4 linked regions of the Saccharomyces cerevisiae S288C genome follow. Changing the gene in region 2 together with the main gene of any one other region gives a genetic interaction. Each region holds a gene or a part of one and is shown on either strand. Other genes may lie near its edges. The genes, in order: RGD3, RRN5, HIM1 and YLL032C.

Region 1 (4,787 bases), on a different chromosome or scaffold from region 2:
AGCTTGATAGTATTTGTATTGAATTACTACTCACAAACTATTTAAAACATCAAGCCAAATATATGCGGAGCACAGAGAAATATTTGTGAATTATATCTTTTGTTGGAAAGACAAGCAACTATCCTAGCGACATTAGGATTGCCAAGACATCCGGTTTTATTCAGACCCTTACATCAGCAGCAGCACGTTCCATCTTTTCAAACTTCCTGCCAAACATTTATGAAGACATGAAACTCTAAAATGTCATCTATTTATAGTAGTCATATTACTATTATATTATTACATGCGGTGTAAGAAGATGACATAGGATTGGGACACAGTCATCGAACTTAATGGACGCTGAAGTGCAAGGATTGATAATGTAATGGGATAATGAAACATATAAAACGGAATGAGGAATAATCCTAATATTATCATGTAGAAATATCGATTCCATTTTGAGGATTCCTATATCCTCTAGGAGAACTTCTAGCATATTCTATATACCTAATATTATTGTCTTTGTGAACAATGGATTCCCACAAATTATCTCAAAATTCACAAATATCTCATTCTCGCATTCCAACAGTTATGTTACTCATTCTATTCGTTTGTTATGTGTGTTTTATGAACGTTTGGGATGACGTATTGTCATACTGACGTATCTTATTTTGAGATACAACATAGTTGTATTTTTAGCCTCCTTAGCTTAGTGGTAGAGCGTTGCACTTGTAATGCAAAGGTCGCTAGTTCAATTCTGGCAGGTGGCATTATACCGGTATTATTTTTTTTCCCTTTGTTCTTATTTCTCTATCATTTATAACTTTATGATTTTTTAAAGGTTGAATGGTCAATGTGAAAATTAAAACTAAAAACATATAGTTGACAAGTGAGAAAAAGAGCAAAAGGGAGAAAAGAAATTGTTAGAATAAAACCATGCTGTTAGAATTGATTTCTTATGCAGGAACCGTTTCAGGGTTTCTTTTTTTAACACTTTCAATTGCATCGGGTTTATACTACATTAGTGAACTTGTTGAAGAACACACAGAACCCACAAGACGGTTTCTCACAAGGGCTATTTATGGTATAATATTAATATTAATTCTGCTACTGTTACTAGACGGTTTCCCGTTCAAACTTACACTTTTTTCCATTGCATGTTACATAGTATATTACCAAAACTTAAAAAGTTTCCCATTTATTTCGTTAACCAGCCCAACTTTCCTATTAAGCTGCGTATGTGTGGTCTTGAATCACTACTTCTGGTTCAAATATTTTAATGATACGGAAGTTCCCCCACAGTTCAAATTTGATCCAAATTATATACCACGCAGACGTGCTAGTTTCGCTGAAGTAGCCTCATTTTTTGGTATATGCGTTTGGTTCATACCATTTGCCTTATTTGTTTCTCTGTCAGCTGGTGATTATGTGCTACCAACGACTAGTGAGCAACATATGGCTAAGAAAAATGATGACATCACAACGAACAACCAGCCAAAATTTCGTAAAAGGGCTGTTGGGTTAGCTCGTGTAGTCATCAACTCGGTAAGGAAGTACATCTACTCTCTAGCCCGTGTATTCGGTTATGAGATAGAACCTGACTTTGATAGATTGGCTGTTTAGGATTGCCTTTTTTTTTAACATGTAGTTAGTTTTTCTTTATTTGAATATTCTAAATAAGAAATATGTGTAATGCTCTGCCAACTATTTTGCACAGGAAAGAAAAATCACCAATACAATACTACTATATTTTACCCAAGTTAATACGGGAAAGTATATTTTCTTTTCCATATTTTTCTTTTTTATTGACGTTTGCATTTTTTAGAGCAACTAGTAAACAAAAAACCAGTCAGGCCCAGTAGATTAAGTATTGTCATTACATAGACAAAGGCAAGAGAAAGAGAGCATTTTCTTTCGGTCTCTAGTTATGTCTGTTAAAGAGCATAACGAAGAAGATATTATTGGTGATGAATTACAGAATTCGAGGCAACTCTCCATTGATTGCGACTCAGTTAAAATTTCACTAAGGAACACATATTGGACCAAAGACTATACAACAGGTATCAAATTATTCATAAAACATATGAAGAGAGAAAATGATTTGCTGATTAAAGACATCAAATTTTACAATGATTTTGTCAACAAATTTTGGAAACCAACATTGAACAATTTACAAAAAATGGAAGCAACCAATTCAATGAATAGCAGGCTGCTGGAAGTGATGAGCAAACAGTTTAATATAATATCAACAGAGCAAGTTGAAAGAGATTGTAAAATTCCATTGCAAGAACTAAGAGATCTTAATGAGAGCTTCCTTCGTGAGGCAGAAAACGATTTGTCATCTCGTTATTCAGCTTACATTAAGGATTTAGTCGCAGCTAAAGAGGCACTAATTGGATGTGAGAAAAGAGTTCAGTCTATATATAAATTGAAAAAAGCCAATACGCCAGTGGAAAATTCTTCCTCTGTTTTTGATAATGGAAAGGATAGTGCACCGTTAACCAGGTTGAACTTCGTATGCGAGTTTCCTTACACTTTAGACGAGAGGTTAAAATTTGAGGATTGCGACCAATTTATGTCATTTTTGCAAACCTTGAAGGGAAAAGTCATCCTGGAGAAAAGTGTCTTTTCCGTTCCAGGATTGTCAAATCAAAGTTTCCAAGGCAGGTCATTGATCAAAGAATTGAAAAAACTTGAACCCAGACTAAACCTGTCCTTATTTAATATCGATAGGATAGGTAACGAATTCATCCAACTGGGTATAATACAAGAATATTCCCTGAGTTTTTACTCTAGCAAAGTTTCTCAGTTTGACCAGGAAAAATACTATTACTGGAACAGTGAAGTCCTTGCTACGCAAGAGAGTAATGGTAATGCTGGAAACAGAAAAAAAAAATCGTATGGTGAGTTAACACACTCCGACAATGAACACGAAGAAAAGTCCAACGTTTCATCTATCAAAACATCTATATCCGATTGGATCCGCAAAGTTAGTCAACATGATAATGATGATTGCGATGCAGCGGGAAGTACAGATATGAATAAAAATGAGTGGAAGAGTTTAAAACAGCAACTTGAATCATCACAAGATATTTTTTTCTCCAAGTGTTGCCAGTTGGAATATTCTAAAGTGCAGTTGGAAAAAACCATTTATGATTATTGTAAAAATTACTCTAAAATGGAGGACGGAATCAAACGAGCTCTAGAATCATCAAACATGATGTTTCAACAAAAATGTGAAAAATTTACTGACTCACCTGTGTGTTCTCTACAAGAAGCACAACTGCCACAGGAAACTGCCAATGCGGATGTAAGAGGGTTTTTCCTCAGGGATAATGGCATACCCTTTCGCAGGTGGAATATCCTAGAAGCGAGTGATCCAGTCGACGCTTGCAAAGAAATCTCCATAAAAAGCGAAAAGTTTTTCTGTGGTAGTGAAATAAATAATGAACTGGCTGCTCTTGATACGTTAGGGGCAATAAAGATTATACTGCGGCAGATTGAAAAGGAACCAAATGCTAATAAAGTCATACAAAGTTGGCACAGGGATATTGATTTTGTAAGGGTTTCTAATTTGAAAAGAGACTTATTGGGGGAATTCAAAGGATCGAAAACTACCGAAAATACAAACTCTATAATCACTGCTCATTTTTTTGAAAACTCGCACAGCTATGTCACTAATGATCTCGTCGGACTGATAAAATTATGGCTGTTAGAGCTACCCGACAGCCTAATACCTTCAAACCACTACGATGACTTAATTAAGGCCGAAAAATCGCTAACATCCCTATGTGAACAGTTTCCGACGAGCTCCTTAAGGTTTCTACAAGAACTAGCAAACCATTTTCAATTGATCAATAGCAAATACTCACTTCCGCCGCAAACAATACAAGATTTGTTTAGAGACAACAGTGACATAGACATACCATTGGCCCATCACTTCGTAAGAAGAACAGGCTTACAGAACCCTATCGACATCAAAATCTTGTCACCAACATTATCTACATTTTTCATCAACGAAAGAACTGTAGAAACTTTGCAAACGTTGATCGCAAACAGGATCACGACGGCAACTACTGCGACACTCACTGAACCGCCGACGATAATTATAAAGGATACAACGGCACCTATACACTCTACCCCTAAGCCACCGCCAAACGACAAGGATGGCCATTTCATACCTCGGCCATTCAAGACTAGTTCTACTCCGACAACCCCAGAGAGACCTAAACGTAAGAGTGGTTTATTCCTTCCCATCAACGTCAACGATGTCCCTTCTACATAACTCCATGCATGCTACATAGTAACTACGTAAATCACCTGCTACCTCTCTGTTCTTTCGTCCCGCCTCGAGGTTGTGCTGCTTTTGTACCTATTGTGGCTGTCGGTGTTACATTACGGTGCCTCGGTGTTACGCGGTGCTTCGTCCTGGTGGTCCACGCGGCCTTGCGCTTTGGCCTTGGTGGGCTTCGAGGCTGTATTATATAAATGGGCCTGATGTTCGTTAAAAGCTGCAGTATTGTTCCTGAGCTTGTTTCTTTTTCAAAGGTTTCCTTTTTTCTTAGTGGGGTCCTTTCTTACATAATAAAGTAAATAGCCTGATACATATAAACCTGTATTGTTGCCATTACAGAAAAAAGCCACTTTCTATACAAAAACTACAATAAAATGTCTGCTGATTTCGGTTTGATTGGTTTGGCCGTCATGGGTCAAAATTTGATCTTGAACGCTGCTGACCACGGTTTCACTGTTTGTGCTTACAACAGAACTCAATCCAAGGTCGACCATTTCTTGGCCAATGAAGCTAA
Region 2 (3,416 bases):
GGCATTGGCGGCCGGAGTTTCAACCATCAGATTAGCAGCCGTGTTAGAGTGTGTCGGAGTCTTTGACACATAGGACCTCTTTATCAAAGGAAAGCATAGAGAGGGTATGCGCGATTTAGTAACTAATAAGGAGCTTTTGGAAGCTATCATTTCTAGCGTGCGTTAGTGTTATTACTATGTAGCGATGTTTATGATATATAAAAGACAAAAGAGAAGAGCTGCTACGGACTTGTGGAGTTTGTGTTCGGTTCCCAGCAAGCTTTATATAAGAAGGCAGAAGGGTGAGAAAATGGGCTTAGTTCATGCGATTTCTCCTGATAATAGACGATACTAAGTACAATAATGAGATGATAAGGGAAATAGCGCCACTCATCAATTGTTTATCATTCATTTTTCTTGTGTAGATATGCTTTTCGGGATGCGAAACCCGAGGCGTGGTAACCGGAAAGCCATTGCCGAAAGGAAATTCCAATCAAAAAAGCGGTGGAGCTAACGGAGGGAATAAGCGAAAGAATAATGAAAACAAAAATTATGTCCCTGCGCGATTTTTCGCATTGTGTCTCATTTGGATAACCATTTTAGCAACTGATTTTCATGTAATGCTGATCGGAACAAGTCCGCTTCGTCGATTTCATCCCTTTCTGCCTCGCTTTCACCTTCACTTGCAGTGTTATCTTGTTCTTGATTTTCTTGATTTTCTTGATTTTCTTGATTTTCGTCTTGATGGACTGGGGGCGCATCCCGTCTGGACAACTGGCTTTGTAGAAACAGATGTGCCATCTCCTTGGTGCGGAACAGTTTGCCCTCTCGCGGATAGTCTAGTTCCCATTTGCGCAGTGTCAAAACAATGCGCCTTGGAAGCACGTGTAGGTCACGTGATCGGGCTTCTGTGCATAGTGCACGCTCAACTTGCCGGCGAGTTACCACCGTCGGTAGCGACTTGTGTCCTCGAGATTCGGCCGCCCTGGCGCTGACGCTGCGGGAAGCCATACCCGCAAGGGCCGTGCACCACAGCAATGTACGTGTGTAGCGACTTACGCAGCGCTCCAAAGTCTGCGTCGCGCTGCGCGATAGCGGCAGCGCGTGGCGGGGCAAGGGTCTTATCTCCGCGATACGGCTGTGCGAGTAGATGGCCACCCACCTGCGTTTCCAGCTTTCATAATCGATAAGGCCCTCGCAGTGTCCTTCCTCATCGGCAACCTCGGCTGCGCCTTCCGTGATGGCCATCACTGTCTCGCTCAGTTTTGTCTCCAGGGCAACCCACTCAGCGCTCATTTCGTACGCAATGGGCGCTCCGTCGTCACCCGCCTTACGCGATCTCGCGCTCGCACTCGCTCTCCTTAACAACCTGTAATAACCTAGAATCTCCATGGCGCTCTTCCGAGGCAACAATGAGCGCCACTCGTCTACACGGTGGATACTATAGCGTGAAAGGCACCAGAAAAAGGTATTCTTCTCCTCGCTGTCCCAGTCTACACCAACGCTAGAGATTTCTACACCAGCATTGGCGGTACCCGCCTTTTCATGGATGCTCTTTACATGTACTTTGGAAGGATGGAACTCAGCTGGGCGGCCTGACGCGGCACCATTGTAGAATTCCTCGACCTCCTTATTGTACAATTCGACGTACTTCCGCAATTGTTGGTGCTCCATCCTAGGTGACCGTCGTATGCGCTGTGCTTTCCTAGCTCTTCTTCCACTTCTGTTTCTCTATACTTTTTTTTTTGTTTTTCACCTCGCCCGCCTTTTCTTATTTCAGTGAACTGAAAAAAAAAAAAAAAGTTATGTATCTTTAATGTAATAAAACTAGTACATAATATATACGGAGCTTGAAGGCACTGGAGAAAATATAGAGTAAGCATATGTGGAAATTCAACAAAAAGCTCGCCCGTCTTACTTACCGTCTTTATTCAAGCTCAGGCCCAAGCTCGCCCCTTCATGGGAAGAAGAAACTGCCGCAAAATCTGAAATTCGTCGTCTTGAACCCTACCCAATCTGGGCTAGTGAAAAATGATCAGAAGCAGCCTAGACACAGGCCGTCTAAGAAACGTAGCCATAAGGAAACTGGAGATAACAACCTCGATTTCGGCTCGAAACTCCTTGTCTTCGAAAAGCAGAATTCACTAGATTCCGCATTGAACTCCATCCGATTGAAGAAACCGACAAGCGCCAGTCTGCCCTCCCTGGAATACAATGCCCTTCTCCAATCGCTTACATCAAGCTACAATCGCTACCAACTGCGCGAGTTCATCTCCACACATCAGCCAGACTCCTCTTCACATCTGACGCACTGGAAGAAAAGCAAGCTGTCCCAATATATAATTGAAAAAATCTGGAATTGCCAACCAATTTCAACACCCACCACTCCCACAGGCATCAAGTCCACATCATTGACTTTCCAGTTCGATTCTCCTAGAGAAATTTTCCTTTTACTCATCACTCAAAATGGTAAAATACTCACCAACTTCAATAAGCTCGGGCTGACATTCATCATCTCCATTCAGGATAACGAATTGACCGTCAAGGGTTCGCCTAGCTTGCTCAAATACGCAGAAATATCCTTAAACAAAATATGGTCAAACATCACTCATGAAAATGTGCGTATGTATTCCCTCATGCCATCAAAAGACGTCATCAACCTTATTCAGAAGGAAACTCACACTTTTTTTGAATACCTCCCGGACTTGCAAATGTACAAGATTTCAGCCCTAAGCACCAAGAAAATATCCATGGCCAAAGTCTTTTTATTAAATGCCGTCGCTTCTAATCCTAACACAACTCAACACCACCACACAATAGCCTCACCAGCACTCAAGACAGAACTCTATCCGTTCAACAATACTCTAGAGAACTTGGACTGGCTAAACAAGTCACAAGATTGGGCAAGATTACAGTCAGTTGTCCCTAAAAATTGCACAGATCTGATGACTCCCACTGAAAACGCCACACCAGAATTGACAGATGCGCAGGTCAGCCAATTCGAATCTTCCTTGTCTAAAAATATACCATCTCTCTCCCCTTCCGACTCTATTTCCCAATCTTTATCAATAACGCTAGGTCACTCCTTACAGTCCGCGTCTTTTTCTAGTATTTTCCAACCTCTAATACATAAGAGTTTTATTTCAAAATTACTGAATCTACCAATGTACAAAGAATCATCATCATCAGCCGTACCTGTGCCTGTGCCTCTTGATCAACATCTAATAACAAATGCGCATCAATCCTTCATACAGCTGAACTTCACTCCTGTGCCGCCCACCTCTGGCTCCTCCTCGTCCCCTTTTTTGCAGATTTGGTTCGAGATTGACGAATTCGATAACATTGTTACCACCTCAATGAGGCCTCTTTTGAAATTACAAGAAAATTCTGTTATCTTAAGAACTCCACAATGCCAGACAGACTATAAGATCACGTCA
Region 3 (3,560 bases), on a different chromosome or scaffold from region 2:
AACACTCAAGAAACAATACGATACAAAGATAATAAATCTGGGTGAAAGTGATAACGAAATTCAGTACGACATACTTGGCTTAGAAATCAAATATCAAAGAGGTAAATACATGAAATTAGGTATGGAAAACTCATTAACTGAGAAAATACCCAAATTAAACGTACCTTTGAATCCAAAAGGAAGAAAACTTAGCGCTCCAGGTCAACCAGGTCTTTATATAGACCAGGATGAACTAGAAATAGATGAAGATGAATACAAAGAGAAGGTACATGAAATGCAAAAGTTGATTGGTCTAGCTTCATATGTTGGATATAAATTTAGATTTGACTTACTATACTACATCAACACACTTGCTCAACATATACTATTCCCCTCTAGGCAAGTTTTAGACATGACATATGAGTTAATACAATTCATGTGGGACACTAGAGATAAACAACTGATATGGCACAAAAACAAACCTACCGAGCCAGATAATAAACTAGTCGCAATAAGTGATGCTTCATATGGTAACCAACCATATTACAAGTCACAAATTGGCAACATATATTTACTTAATGGAAAGGTAATTGGAGGAAAGTCCACCAAGGCTTCATTAACATGTACTTCAACTACGGAAGCAGAAATACACGCGATAAGTGAATCTGTCCCATTATTAAATAACCTCAGTCACCTTGTGCAAGAACTTAACAAGAAACCAATTACTAAAGGATTACTAACCGACAGTAAATCTACAATCAGTATAATTATATCCAATAATGAAGAGAAATTTAGAAACAGATTTTTTGGTACTAAAGCAATGAGACTAAGAGATGAAGTATCAGGAAATCATCTGCACGTATGCTATATCGAAACCAAAAAGAATATTGCAGACGTAATGACCAAACCTCTTCCGATAAAAACATTCAAACTATTAACAAACAAATGGATTCATTAGATCTATTACATTATGGGTGGTATGTTGGAATAAAAATCCACTATCGTCTATCAACTAATAGTTATATTATCAATATATTATCATATACGGTGTTAAGATGATGACATAAGTTATGAGAAGCTGTCATCGATGTTAGAGGAAGCTGAAACGCAAGGATTGATAATGTAATAGGATCAATGAATATAAACATATAAAACGGAATGAGGAATAATCGTAATATTAGTATGTAGAAATATAGATTCCATTTTGAGGATTCCTATATCCTCGAGGAGAACTTCTAGTATATTCTGTATACCTAATATTATAGCCTTTATCAACAATGGAATCCCAACAATTATCTAATTACCCACATATTTCTCAAATCTCCTATATTACGATCTATTCTTTAGTCTAAATGTTACCAATCGTTATCCTTTTTTATCATCAATCCGTGCGTTTCAGTTGCTTTTAAATTTGATAACGCATTCTTATCATTTATGTCATTTTATTACATCATATATGATAATATTCCGTCACCTTGAATACTCATCAAGAAACGATAAGTTGTTGTAATTTAACAGTAACTCTGCATATAATTCAACAGGTAAAAACTAACTTTTATATCCTTGAACTTCTTCATTTTTGTGTCTTTCATTGAAAGTATAATTTTCCTTTTTTTTTTTTGGTTTTCAATACATATAATGATGGGTGACATTTTTTGTGTCATTTAGATTAAAAGAAATTTTAAGAAAAATTGACGTATTTAATTTTGATCCGCAGTAAACGCTATAAATTCTTTTTAATATAAATGACAGCTTTTTATACATATAGACCCTTTGAAGAATATTCCAAACTAGAAAGGTTGATCAGAAATGAGTTATAGTGTCAACACGTTTACAGATTACGTTTTATTGTTTGGATCATCTAGTTTAGTAGGAAAAGGTATTTTAGAGAACCTGTTGGACATAAATTTATATATTAAAAATGTTTCGGACCTACAAGGCAAGCTTGATAGCTTAAGTGAAATAAAGGGAAATGTCGTTCTCAATAAACATGTCTTTTGTGTTAATAGAAGGTGCATCAATGAGGAGAAATCATTTATGAAGACCATTGATTATATAAATATGAGATCAGTTACTTGGCAAGGTGGCAGATATTACTTGAGAAGCAGGAAAGAAAAAGACACTGAAAAAGTACCGTCTAGTCCTAATACTTTTTGTTATGATAATTTTGAAGAAGGATTTATTAAAAATACGCCTGAAGAGAGGGGAAAAGATGGTTATTCTTTTGTTTATAATCAGAAACAGTTCAGTTACACACTACATTATGCATGCGGAAAGGAAAAAGGTATTGAGATCATTTGTAATTTTACTGTAACGCAATTGATCATCCCCAGATCTGAAACTTGGCCAAAATTGCTTCCACGGATATTCTCAGGAACACAAAAGCTGGAAAAGTTTGACATTGACAACAAAAATTACGTTCCCGGTAGAAGTTTGCCTAGTCTGTGTGATATTAGCACTATGGTGTGCTCTTTGGGCTCCACCTCAGCTAGAGTGCGGAGAACTCAGGTACCAAGTTCCTTTGCTGACTATTACTTACCTTTTAATTTAGCACAAGAATTCACGAATACAACTAACAAAAGGTTGGTGGTTACAACTGCCTTTAATAATGATTTTCTTAGTAAAACTTTCGAGTATTTTAGAATAAAAGCTAAATTAGAAAATGACTTGGATGAAGCTTTGCCAAATAAGCTAAAGGAGCTAGTTATTTTGAGGCCAGGTCCGATGTGTGGACAGCACGGAAATCCTATAAACGTTGAATTGGGTAAAGAAAACTCCACTTTCTTGGAAAAAATTTTTTATTATCCTCACTATCTTTTAGTTTATAAAAAGAAATATATCAGTGAGGCCAGAAGGATTGGCTTAAGAACAAAGTTAAGCGAAATAATTGCTTCCAGTATATATAGGATGCCAGGATCTGCATTATTAGGATACGCTGTCCCAGTTTCAAAGGTTTCTTATGTTGCCTCTTTGATGGCGATTGAAAGGAAAAGTAAAGAGGCGGGACCTAAGCTGGAAGTAATTAGCAGTTATCAAATTGATATGATTGTGTGAACAGTCAGTCTTTTCTTTTGATAGATGCGAAGTTATTAAATAAATAGTAGCCTAATACATAAAAGAACCACTATATCATGGATTCGATACCTGGGCCGTCTTAAATTTTTATCGCATTGAATATGCAAACTTTATGTATTGTTTTACTAATCGCCAGTAATGGCCGACCAATTCTATGATAGATCTTCCCTAAGTTTATAATGATGGTAAGAAAACGCGCATATTTCAAAACTGAAGAAAAAACAAACAAAAGCCATATGGATAATGAGGGGAAAATGTGATTTCTTTACTTGAGCAATTCTTTCAAACTATCAGTAACGCTCCTGGCAATGAGTAGAATCGATGATTTACAGCAGGACATTGAATCTTTACTCAGTGAAAGTATGTGATTTTGAGGCTGTAACAATTTTCTTTCTTTTAAAAAAATGATTAAGTTGAACACTAACATAGTAGAATCTTCACAGTCAATTCATTAGAAGAAAGTCGTGAGAAGCTCAAAGCGAAGATAAAAGATAAAAGAAAAAATG
Region 4 (4,828 bases), 350 kb from region 2:
AATCTTGAGCTTCTCAGCAACACGAAATGTTGTGAAAGGATACTCCCCGTGACTGAGATGCAAAGAACCTTGGAATTTGTTCTGAAGAGCTGTTCATACTTGCCCGAAACAAAAGTTCAAAAGTGGGATATTGCAAGGGACAACACATATTGCAGGCAAATTTTAAAGAACCTTTTAACAATGCAATATGAAAAGTACAGATCGATTTTGCATAGAGGAATAGGCCATGATGAGCTTGACGTCAAATTCTCTCATTTGAAAACTACTTCTAGTCCGCTAACTAAGCTAAATAAAACCGAAAAGAAAAAGATTCCGCTTTTCAAAGTATTTAGTGATTTCGATACAACATTGATATATCTCAATGAGACATTAGGTACAAGGTTATAAAGATCATTATCGTAAAAGAGGAGCGGAGCGGAGCTTTTTAGTATGTATGGTAAAATATCAATCAAATACTGTAATAGATGCGGATATGCGCAATGACATATTTTGTGGTGTGCATATCCATTGAAAAGGTGCGTAGAACGTTACAATACTACTGAACTTTTTTCCTTCTCATTTTCTGCCATTTTGATATTTATGCCTATTATTGGTTTGAGCTTTATTAGAGTTGGCATAATTATAATCGTACTCGTATGTATATCCGTATCCATACCCATATCCGTTGTAATAAGTGTTTGGTATATATCCTTTGATGGCTTGGGCTCCTCCTACCGTCGTTATAACAGGCATTTTGTGGCGTTGTGGTGAGGCTCCTGATTGGCTGGTATTATCGATGGTCGTACGACTTTTGGCATTATTCATTGATCTGAAATTGCCATTGGTATTGCTATTACTGGTGTTACTCTTGCTGGAGGCAGACCCTAGAACAAATTTTTTAATTATTTTTTTAAATATTATTTTCGTCTTTTGTGTTTCCAAATAATTGGATAGTAATTCGATTGCTTTTGTTAGAGTATTCTCATTAGTATCCTTTTCAAAAGTAAAAGTGATAAGGTCCTTCTCAAAAGTTACAATTATGTTCATAATTTGCAAAAATGGAACAACAATTAGGTTATAAAATTCGTATTCTTTATTGGGATCTATCTCTTGATCTATTTTGAACTCGTATTCATAACCAAACGCACTATTAACCAATTCGTTAGCGGCTCTTGATGCATTCTCATCATTTCCTTGTATACTCAATTGAGATGTTCCATCCAAGGGCTCTTTTAACGGTATCATTATGTAAACATTTTCGTTCTTTTCGATTTGTCCTATAATATTCTTTTGGCCGTTAACATGCAAAATATGTCTATATTGCCCACTAGAAAATCTAATGAGCGTCTTCGATTGTAAACTATCATATTCTTGAACAATTTGTTTTAAATCATTCTTGGCTAGGCATATATTAGCTTTGTTTTTCCTGGGGCACCTAATTATCACATTATCATACCTGATCATAGAAATTTTATTTTGTGGAAGATTGAAACTATTGGAAAACTGAATGAAGACGTTATGCTTTCTCATTGTGGCTTGAATTAAGGAACCACCTGTACCTATAATCGGTCTGTGACAAACTTCAGGAATGAAGAAAGATTCTTCGGCAGGAAATTCATTTATAACATTCTTAAATGATTCCTTGAAATCAGGGAAAGAGTCACTAACCAAATTTAAATAAAGGTTATCATCTTCCTCTTCCATTTCCAGTTGAATTAAGCAAGCAGATAGTTCCATTATACGTGTTAATTTACCATTTTTCTTGCCTGATATGAAGTCTTCAAAATCAGGATGTATCTCGAAAATGGCTTTTATCTGTCTTAAGTTTGGATTAATCACTTGATTTGAGCCCATAATAAAATCAGATAAGTAATGCAATATGGAAGTATCGGACGCCTCATCTGTGGAAGATTGGTTACCAACTACTATTAATTGGTTGAAGGAATCCTCTTTGGGAGTTATTACTACAATTTGGTTTCCAGTGTGTCCGAAAAAGCTGTCGATTATTAATTCCGGGGACATTGCGCAGTTTTCATTGAGTGAAATCTGTACTTCTACAATTTCATGTAATACTTGAATAGTGAAGTTCTTAATAACCATTTCTAATAAGTTCGTGGAAATCGATTGAAATTCAATGTATTCGTTAGTAACTCTAATAAGCGATTGGTATTTCAAAATTAACTGGTTTACCTTTTGTTGGTAGTATTTTCGGATAAACAGTAGTTTTCCTGGGGTAATATTAGTCAATCGACGATAAAAAAAACTCTTTGAATTCACGCTTATGGACTCACGTAGAGTTTTCCTAGCCAGTAAACTTAGTGAATGGACAGCGCCTGAGAAGAAGATTTGTGGATTTGCCTTAAGATCCCTAGACAGCGTAATGAGGGAAGGTGCGTAAATGCTGGTTTTAAAAGCTCTGGATATATGTTTGAAGTTTTCCATATCTACACCCATATATAAGGGAAGCACAGAGTATGAGTTCAGTTCCATAGGTTCGATAATGTAGTGTTGTGGAGGCAAAGTCATACCATTCTTCTTTATTAAATCGACAAATGCCAATAACTGGGGTTCGCATTCCATTAAATTAGATCGGAATCCTAATGCATGCACGTAAATACATAATTCCTTGCTCTCGCCTGTCTGTTCTGGTGTGAAGTAAGCTGGTTCTTTGGTGATGATTAGTTCTAAATTGAATTTTTCACTCAAGTCCAATAGTATACGTTTCATTTTTTCCAATTCTGCTGTTAGATCATTTGTGTTCATAGGTAAGGGCAAAGAAATCCTGCAAATAGCATCGAGGTCCATATCATCTGTGGTAGCTTTTATTGAGATCATGTCATCTCTAATGAAAGAAGCATTTAGATTGACCCATGAGGGATCTATATGACAGATTGCTTTTGTGTTTTTAAGTTCTTTGGAGCTTATTCTTTTTTGAAGAAATTCAACTAAAAAAGGTGCTTCTATGGGCTTCCATAATCTATTTGTCGTGTATAAGTGTGGAACTTGTAAAAAAGCAGTTGTGATAACTGTACTGTAAATTTTGAAGTTATCCATGCCTCAACCGTGTGTTTACTGCTGTTTTTCTTTTTAAACAATTGTGTAGACTTAACCTCTGCGGGCTTGAATAGTGCTTCAAAAGGTTCAGGTAGTCAAGAGGTTAGCTATATAAACAAAGATGACTTTTCATCCTTTATTTCTTTTATTTTGTTTTTGTTTTTTGCCTTTGTGGAAAAAAAACAATCTACAAGCGAAAAGAAAAATTTTGGAGAAAAATATAATTTAGGATTACAAGAAAGTGATAGAAAAATGTACAATCTTAAAAGAATAAAGCTGCAGAAAAGAGATGCTTTTGCTTTCAAATTTTTGCAATATCAAGAGATATGATTTACTTGTATCTAAATTACATGTAGATATATATATATAGTATATTTGTAAGTAAAGAGTGGAAATGAAGTTCGTCATTTCCAAAAAATGTCATTTATGTGCTTAATCAATCTCCCACTAGCAAATGCAATTGTACCAAAAGTAACGACCAGTTGAGTGACTATTAAACTTAAAGAAGCAAAGATAAACCTTGGGCAGAAGATTTTCCAAACCATCAAGTGTCTACGGAAGTGAGTAACCCAAATAAAGGAGCTTAGACATAAAATAGTATTGTAAGTGAGTAATATACCGCAGTTTGACACAATTCTTCCTAAAAGTGTTTGTGGCTTCAACACATCAGGAGGCTGTGACCACAGTGTCAGTAACGCTACAGATAAGGAGACGAGAATATGAGGCCCAAATGTATTTAGGATGATGGCTATCTGAGTGAAGGGGAACGTTACCTTTTCAGACAGCATAAATCCGATATCCCATTGCACTGATGGAATTGTGGCTTGATGACCGGTGGTGAAAAAATGTTGGTAAGATAAGAGTCCCAACGCAATTGGACCAATTATGTTTTCCTTTAATTTTAAAAGATCGATAATTTCTAAAATTGATAGTAGTTGGTTGCACATGAGGAAGTATGACAACTGGGCCAGGGGTTTGTTGAATAGTAGGATACTAATGAGAACGTTTATGACCAAAAGAAAAAACTCTGAGCCGTAAATATTAGTATAACCTAAAATTGTTGCTTCGTGAGACTTAACATCAGTATTATGAATGTTTAATTTAATACAAAGTGGTCCCATTAGCCAGCCGACATTAGAAGCAATCAATGAAAAACCGGCAATAATTCTAGCCAACGTAAATTTAAAAATAGTGACGTCCCGTAAGAACGGTATTGCTATTACCGCACTGTTATTTTCTAATGAAGTCAATGACCAATAAACAAAGTTCAAACCAAGGATACCCTTTAGGAAAACGTTTATCCAAATTGGAGCTGCAGCTTGATAAGACGATGTTAGATTATAATAACCGGTGATGCATGCAGGTAATATGAATATCATTAGGAAACAGAGACCCAAAACCCACCACGAGGAATTGTTTTGATTATTAAATGTTGGAATACAATATTCGCCTTGTTCCTCTCTACAAATGGTAATCATAGAAGCTAACCGGGTAAAAATGATTAAAACTGCAGAATGGTAACCTCCTAGTAATCTTGCAAATCTTGTTAATGGTAAGTAATTTGAATTTGCTGTCGAAGGATTGACCCCTGAAGTGGTTCCTTCCTTTTCACTGATTGTTGCAGTTAATAATGCAGTGGTGGATTGCCTTTTTGGTAAGAAGACAAATTCATACAACGTCAACATGCCGAAAGTAGATAAAAGGAATGCTACAATTCTATCCTCCCAAATAGTAAATGAATTGGAAGTGAAAAGCAAAGCATGAATAATCATAAACATGACAGCAATTCTTGACC

Evidence for each region.
Region 1: mutations in RRN5 (region 2) and RGD3 together harm fitness more than expected from each alone (negative genetic interaction), as found in Saccharomyces cerevisiae (one large-scale study listed by BioGRID).
Region 3: mutations in RRN5 (region 2) and HIM1 together harm fitness more than expected from each alone (negative genetic interaction), as found in Saccharomyces cerevisiae (one large-scale study listed by BioGRID).
Region 4: mutations in RRN5 (region 2) and YLL032C together harm fitness more than expected from each alone (negative genetic interaction), as found in Saccharomyces cerevisiae (one large-scale study listed by BioGRID).

The regions. Positions count from the first base shown.
Region 1 is NC_001140.6:466,313-471,099, forward strand, and holds RGD3 (Rgd3p), read left to right. Parts: upstream 1-1,906; coding exon 1,907-4,264; downstream 4,265-4,787. Other genes in the region: SVP26 (Svp26p), read left to right, coding at 916-1,602; phosphogluconate dehydrogenase (decarboxylating) GND1, read left to right, coding at 4,648-4,787. UniProt on the Saccharomyces cerevisiae protein: GTPase activating protein (GAP) for RHO3 and CDC42 that binds membranes through phosphatidylinositol 4,5-bisphosphate. Plays a key role in cell polarity. Modulates the RHO3 distribution at the plasma membrane and its polarity during growth.
Region 2 is NC_001144.5:421,920-425,335, reverse strand, and holds RRN5 (Rrn5p), read right to left. Parts: upstream 1,654-3,416; coding exon 562-1,653; downstream 1-561. Other genes in the region: PUT1 (proline dehydrogenase), read right to left, coding at 1-150; SLS1 (Sls1p), read left to right, coding at 1,863-3,416. UniProt on the Saccharomyces cerevisiae protein: Component of the UAF (upstream activation factor) complex which interacts with the upstream element of the RNA polymerase I promoter and forms a stable preinitiation complex.
Region 3 is NC_001136.10:1,100,396-1,103,955, forward strand, and holds HIM1 (Him1p), read left to right. Parts: upstream 1-1,788; coding exon 1,789-3,033; downstream 3,034-3,560. Other genes in the region: MCM21 (Mcm21p), read left to right, coding at 3,363-3,414, 3,498-3,560. UniProt on the Saccharomyces cerevisiae protein: May participate in the control of processing of mutational intermediates appearing during error-prone bypass of DNA damage.
Region 4 is NC_001144.5:73,715-78,542, forward strand, and holds YLL032C (uncharacterized protein), read right to left. Parts: upstream 3,034-4,828; coding exon 556-3,033; downstream 1-555. Other genes in the region: IRC19 (Irc19p), read left to right, coding at 1-387; mannose-ethanolamine phosphotransferase GPI13, read right to left, coding at 3,438-4,828.